Linked DNA regions of Callithrix jacchus. The protein of the gene in region 1 purifies or fractionates together with the protein of each later gene. This does not show direct contact. Links are inferred from orthologs where the notes say so. Each region holds a gene or a part of one and is shown in the gene's direction. Other genes may lie near its edges.

What was found. Proteins that work in one complex are often made in the same cells at the same time.
Region 2: the proteins of RPP30 (region 1) and RPP25L purify together in Homo sapiens (co-immunoprecipitation; 3 studies listed by BioGRID and IntAct, counting the BioPlex papers as one, with this or other methods). This does not show direct contact. The link is inferred for Callithrix jacchus from reciprocal best matches to the Homo sapiens genes RPP30 and RPP25L.

What each region holds. Positions count from the first base shown.
Region 1 is NC_133513.1:83,675,096-83,678,607, forward strand, and holds part of RPP30 (ribonuclease P protein subunit p30), read left to right. Parts: intron 1-1,465; coding exon 1,466-1,575; 3' UTR 1,576-3,512. UniProt on the Homo sapiens protein: Component of ribonuclease P, a ribonucleoprotein complex that generates mature tRNA molecules by cleaving their 5'-ends. Also a component of the MRP ribonuclease complex, which cleaves pre-rRNA sequences.
Region 2 is NC_133502.1:141,477,099-141,480,571, reverse strand, and holds RPP25L (ribonuclease P protein subunit p25-like protein), read left to right. Parts: upstream 1-1,377; 5' UTR 1,378-1,424; exon of another isoform or gene 1,425-1,663; intron 1,664-2,142; 5' UTR 2,143-2,173; coding exon 2,174-2,650; 3' UTR 2,651-2,973; downstream 2,974-3,473. UniProt on the Homo sapiens protein: May be a component of ribonuclease P or MRP.

The sequences.
Region 1 (3,512 bases):
AAGAAATAATTCTTTTTTTTTTGGAAACCTTTTTTTTTTGAGACGGAGTTTCGCTCTTGTTACCCGGGCTGGAGTGCAATGGCACGACCTCGGCTCACCGCAACCTCCGCCTCCTGGGTTCAGGCAATTCTCCTGCCTCAGCCTCCTGAGTAGCTGGGATTACAGGCACGCGCCACTATGCCCAGCTAATTCTTTGTATTTTTAGTAGAGACGGGGTTTCACCATGTTGACCAGGATGGTCTCGATCTGTTGACCTCGTGATCCACCCGCCTCAGCCTCCCAAAGTGCTGGGATGACAGGCTTGAGTCACTGCGCCCGGCTGAGTAATTCTTAACTAAATTTCTGTTCAAGTTCTTTTGATTCTGCCTCCTTTGTAGCTAATGAGTATCTCCCTCCTTCATAATCCCATTCCATTTCTAAGGACAGAGTTTGAGTCTCTTTTCATGACACTGTGGCCTTTCATAAGCTATTCTTCAGCCTGATTTCCTCCTAATTTTTTCATATTCCTCCTTCATACCAGCCTTATTGTCCCCTAAACTATCTTATCTAGGTTCTTCTTACCTTTCTGTCCATGCCTTTGCAAAGGAATACTTCTCCTTTTCTTATTCCATTTACCTTATTCCAAGTAGTGTCTCCTTTATATGAATACCTCGTTGCTTTACCCAGGCAGTTAATTCTTGTGACTGCCTCCATTCCTATTATATTTGCTCTTACTGTGCTTCTCACATGCATGTATTATAGGGAAAAGCACTGTCTGTTAGACATCTTAATACCCTGTGTATATGGACAGTTTGCCTAACCTATTAGTAGGTTTCTAGAAGTTAAATTTAAGTTGAATTCTGCTGCCAACCTAATCTAAGTATCTAATAATTCCCAGTTATTCTTTGTTCATTGTCACCAGTTAGATAAGAGATCAATAAATTTATGAGTTTGATTTTATTCATTAACTCAACTAGTATTTATTGAACACCTTTTGCATAACCAGGCCATTGTGGGGTGTTCACAATACAATGCAATTGATTCTTTCAGAGGTACCTTGATGTTCTAATAGAGAGATAGGGTACATGCTGTAAAACAAGACAAGCATGTGCTCCACGTGGGAGCCATACACTCGACTGCTGTGTCTCCTCTCTTGACTTGTCTGTCTACCATATATAAAGCATCTGCTACACCAATATCTATGACTTGGGTTCTGGTTACATAAGATGTCATGGACGGACCATTAGACATAACACTGTCCTGCAGTTTTATGCATGAGGTAATCTTTAGGAATAAATTATATGTTAATAATATACTGATGTTTATTTATGTTGGGGAAAAAAGATGATACTAAATGACACTAGCACCCGTAACAGTTCATTATGGCTTATCATTTACTACTACTGTAAGCCAAAGTCATATGTTAAACCACCTCTTTTTAAATGTCCTAACTTCAAGCACAATGGTTTTCCTGTTGGTTTTACAGACACTAGAAAAACTGCTTTTGGAATTATTTCTACAGTGAAGAAACCTCGGCTATTAGAAGGGGATGAAGATTGTCTTCCAGCTCCCAAGAAAGCCAAGTGTGAGGGCTGAAAAGAATGCCCCAGTCTCTGTCAGCAGTCCCTTCTTCCCTTTTATACTTCATCGGCCACAACAAAGAGAAAACCTTTGTGTGATTTACTGTTTTCATTTGGAGCTAGAAATCAATAGTCTCTAAGAACAGTTTTACTTCCAATCCATTAAAACAACAAACAAAACCTAGTGAAGCATTTTTTTCAAAAGACTGCCAGCTTAATGAATTTAGATGTACTTTAAGAGAGAAAGACTTTATTTATTTCTCCTTTATGTAAGTGATAACAGCAGATACACTTGAATAAGATGTTTCGGGTATTTTTGTTTTGTTTTGTTTTTGAGATAGGGTTTTGCTTTGTTGCTCAGAGTGGAGTACAGTGGCATAATCACAGCTCACTGGAACCTCAAGCCTGAGCTCAAGTGATCCTCCCTCTTCAGCCTCTCAAGTAGCTGGAACTACAGGTGCACACTACCACACCTGGCTTTTTTTCTTTTTCTCTGTAGAGACATGGTCTCACTATGCTCCCAAGGCTGGTCTCAATCTCCTAGGGTCAAGCCATTCTCCCACTTTGGCCTCCTAAAGTGTTGGGATTACATGGACCACCAGTGTAGCCAGATGTTTGAATATTTTAAGAGCTTCTCTCAAAAATTACTTGTTCATAGTCAAATGGTAGTTATTTTGAAGATATTCAAACTTATATTGAAGAAGTGACTTTTAGTTGATGTTTTAAGCTTCTCTCTCATGTATTCACCAAATCAACATTTTTTTTTCCTAAAAGGAATTGCTGTAGTTTGTAGAAGTAGAGAGGATACACATGTAAAATTACACTTGGACTCTTACTTCACTGCTTCATACCTCCATGAGGTCTTTGAAATAGGATTCCTTACTTTTAGTTAGAAACCCCTAAAAACCTAATATTGATTTTCCTAATAGCTGCATTAAAATAGCAAAGCATTGGACTCAATCAGCTTTGGAAATAATTTATTTTTATAACAGGATCGTGTTAAGTACAAGTAGCTTTATTTGCACATGTCTGCATTTATGTAATATTAATGTAAGGGCTCTAAAACACAGTGGAGTAGAACCAGAGGTATAACTGAATAAGAAACTTTTAAACAAGAGAAAGAAAACTGTTCTGCAAGTTGGACAAAATATAATTTTAAAAAGAGAAAACTTTATAACCTCACCAATGAATATAGATGTTTAGATAAAATATTGATTTAAAAACATTAAAACAGAGTACATCATTTATTCCTTTTTTTGTGAGATTGATTCTTTGTTGTTGTTGATGAAACAGGGTATCACTCTCTCACCTGGCCTGAAGTGTCAACAAGCCATTCTACCAGCTCAACCTCCCGAGTAACTGGGACCACAAGCATACACTACCACATCTCGGCTAATTTTTGTATTTTTTTGTAGAAATGGGGTTTTGCCATGTCCAAGTTGGTCTCAAACTCTTGTACTCAAGCAGTCTGTGCCTCAGCCTCCCAAAGTGCTGGGATTACAGGCACAGCCATGAACCACCATACTCAGCCTTCTAGTTCTTTTTAATGCAGTATCCTTTTGCATATTAATAGGTCAAAAGAGAAAAATCAGAATGTTCTTAATAGATGCCAAAAAGACATTTAATAAAGTTTAAAATCCACTCCTGATTTTTTTTTTTTTTTTTTTTTTTGAGACAGTCTCGCTCTGTTGCCAGGCGCCAGGGTGGAGTACAGTGGCACAATCTCGGCTCACTGCAACCTCCGCCTCCTGGGTTCAGGCAATTCTCCTGCCTCAGCCTCCCCTGTATCGGGGACTACAGGTGCATGCCACCACACCCAGCTAATTTGTGTATTTTTAGTAGAGACGGGGTTTTACCATGTTGGCCAGGATGGTCTCTGTCTCACTCCTGATTTTTAAAATGACAACAATAAAAACCCTTGGCAAAATTTAAGTAGAAGAATATTGTATGCAT
Region 2 (3,473 bases), on another chromosome or scaffold:
CAAGATGAAGGCTCTCATTTGATGATGTGAATGGGATATTCCTTTATATATCCATTTAACCCACGTTTACTAAGAAGAGACCTCCAAATGTCAGATGATGGGAGTAGATGTGGCTAACCTAATCCCTGCCCTGCACTAGCTAGCAGTATACAGTAAAGGAAAAGGGCAGTCCTATCAGGTGGGCACAAAAGAAAAAGGGACTGAAGGGACCTGGTAGGTGATGTGCAGGGACTTTCAGAACCAAGGAAGCAGCATGTGCAAAAGCAGAGAAGAGCCTTTAAATTTCTCTCTTGGGAGCCTACCTGGTGCCACCAGCCGAGAAGGGCAGCCTAAGAGGTTTGGATGCAGGAAGCTTTGGTCCTGGGGAGGGGAAGTTGGGAAGTAGGGGTGCTGGGGCAAGCACGTTGAGAAACAGATTGGCCCCGCACTCCACCAAATGTTTGCTGCCCCCTTGTGGATTCACGGAGTGCTCTGGCTCCAGACCCTTTTTCCAATGGCCCGCTGACTGCCCCGCCTGCACGACCTCACCGGCACCTCAAATTCTGCGTGTGCAAACTGGTCTAAAACCCGGGAGACATCCTGGATCGGAATTCCCTACTTCTCCGTCCAAACAGTTGCCAACTCGAGACTGAACCTACCTACTAGTATCTCCCGACCTAATCTTTTTTTTCCATTCCTACTACTTTTTCTCTGGTTCGTTAGTTTAACAAATCATTTAACAAATATTTGAGCGCCGATCATACGCCAGACACCATACTAGGCTCCGTAGGCACCCCTGCCCTCTCAGCCCCCAGACTCCGCGGCCAGGTGTCGTCAGGGGCTGCGGCCTGATTTCCCCACCACTCCTCGGCTCTCTGCACAAGATCTGGTTCGACAAGCCGCTGGAAAACCCCCGTAATCCGCCAGCGCCCACAGGATGAGGCTGAAGCCCAGAAGTCGGTAATTAAGGCTCTCACCTCTGCAACAGCGGCCTGGGAACTAAACTCATCCTGGTCTGGCTTTCTGGCAGGTGTAGAGCTCTCAAGATGAGAGCTTTCAAGATGAGCTCCAAACTGAAGCTCCTGCTCGCACTCACTGTGAAACCCACTGCTCCCCTTTTGCTCAACAGGTAACGCCAGCCCTCCCCATCTTCTAAGAGCCAGATTCCTCTCCTTCAGACGCAGGACTTCTCTGACGGCTACTCCTTTCTACCGCAGGATATCTTCCTGCCTCCCTCCAGGGCGTTACAGTGGAGACTGCGCTAGTGTCCCAGCCCCACTGGGACTGCTCCGTAGCGGCCTTGCGGGTGGTTCCGTTTCCCGGCGGAGGCGCCTCGCGGCCGGACCCTCAGGCCCCGCCCCCTCGGGGCGTGCGCGGCCCCGCGGCCTTGGAGCTTCTGGGCTCGCGCGCCATCTTGGCTCCGGATCGGCAGTGAGGCGGCTTCGGTGAGAGCTAGAACCTGGCAGGCAGCGGGGCGCTCGGAAGTGGTGGGAGAGGGGACGCCTGCTGCTTGACCGCAGCGGCCGGCAGGACCCTGGAAACGACCAGGGCTGTCTTGGAATAGCCCGAGCAGCCTTCTGAGTCGAGCCTCTGCCCCTGAGTTTCTGAGTGACCTGGGTTGATATGGTTCGACCCTGGTAATCTCTGGGAGAGCGAAGTCAGTTCTGCTTGGGGGCAGCACTGGGTAAGGGTCCTTGGTTGTTTTCCGGGGGCCCTGGGGCGAAGTGCCTTGTCCCTGTCTTTGTAATCCCCCAAGTGACTAGCGCTCTCTATTGGTATTAGTCTGGGGTGAGGGTTCCAGGCCCTGTTCCAAGGAATCCAGGATAAGCGGGACTAGGCTCCAGTTCTGAAGAGTTTCGGATGAGGGGGCCTGGCGTTATCCCAAGAGCTCGGTGTTTGGGGAATTTGGTGTTGCCTCTGGGACTCCAGGATTGGAGGTGGGGGTGTTATGGCCCTTGTAGAGGACGGGGGTGTGGGGGCTACAGCCCCTTCCCAGAGTGAGGCAGGCATGGCCCTTGTCATGAGATGCTAAGGACCAGGGGATACGATCCTGTTTCTGGGAAGTCTGGAACGGGGAGCAGGGCCACATCCTGAAGGGAGGTAAGGGATGGTGGACAGTGACCTGGGCACATGGCCTAGCACTCATCTGATGCTTCCGTGCAGTGGGCAGCGAGAGTCACAAGACAGCAAACTGATGGAGCACTACCGGAAAGCTGGCTCTGTGGAACTCCCAGCACCGTCCCCAATGCCCCAGCTACCTCCTGATACCCTTGAGATGCGGGTCCGAGATGGCAGCAAAATTCGCAACCTGCTGGGGCTGGCGCTGGGTCGGTTGGAGGGCGGCAGTGCGCGGCATGTGGTGTTCTCAGGTTCCGGCAGGGCTGCAGGAAAAGCTGTCAGCTGTGCTGAGATTGTGAAGCGGCGGGTCCCAGGCCTACACCAGCTCACCAAGCTACGTTTTCTGCAGACCGAGGACAGCTGGGTCCCAACCTCACCTGACACAGGGCTAGACCCCCTCACAGTGCGCCGCCATGTGCCTGCAGTGTGGGTACTGCTCAGCAGGGACCCCTTGGACCCCAATGAGTGTGGCTACCAACCCCCAGGAGCACCCCCTGGCCTGGGTTCCATGCCCAGCTCCAGCTCTGGCCCTCGTACCCGAAGAAGGACTTGAGATACCCGATCCTGAAGACCTGCTCAGCCAGGCTGTTCTCCAGGCCTGAATGTCTGAGATGTGTGTCTTTTCTGAAAAACCCTGTGACTGCTAGACATCCCCATCAAGGCTCAGATCCACAGAGGTGGGCCCCCTTGTCCTGCTTCCCCTTCTCTCTGGTATGTGGGAAGGGACTGCTGTGAAGAGTGACAGGTGTGGAGCCTCTGCCAAGTTCTGCATTGCTAAAGAAGGGTTTACTCTGTCTTCTACCTACAGTGCATCTGAACTGCCTTCTGACAGAGGTCCAGGGAGGGATTTAGAAAATAAAGTTTCTACCTATTTGATGAGACTCTACTCAGCCTGCTATGTGGAGTGGGATTAAAGAAATGGGAGTCCCTGCCCTTAGCCCCCGGGAGCTGATTGGGTGAAGAAAGAGGAAGAGTAGGCTCAGGCTGATGCTGGGAGGATCTAGTGTAGATAAGAAGCCTCAGTCAGTACTGAATATAGTTAATTCCCTGGGTAGTTGTTTGTACCGTTTTTGGGCTGGTTTAAGAACACTGTCAGGTCAGACATTTCTCATCATCTGCAACATACAGTATAGTATAGTGGTTGTGAGCATGGACTCAGGCACCAGCCTGCCTGGGTTTCAGTCCTGGTCTGCCACTTAGCAAGTTACTACTCTGTGTGCCTTAGTGTTCTTATCCATAAAACAGGAATACAATACTGTTTATCGCATAGGGTTGTTACGAGGTTAGATAAAGAAATACGTGACATTTAGAAACCACCTTGGCGCATAATGCTATTAAATGTTAATTACTATTATGATTATTAATGACTTACCTAT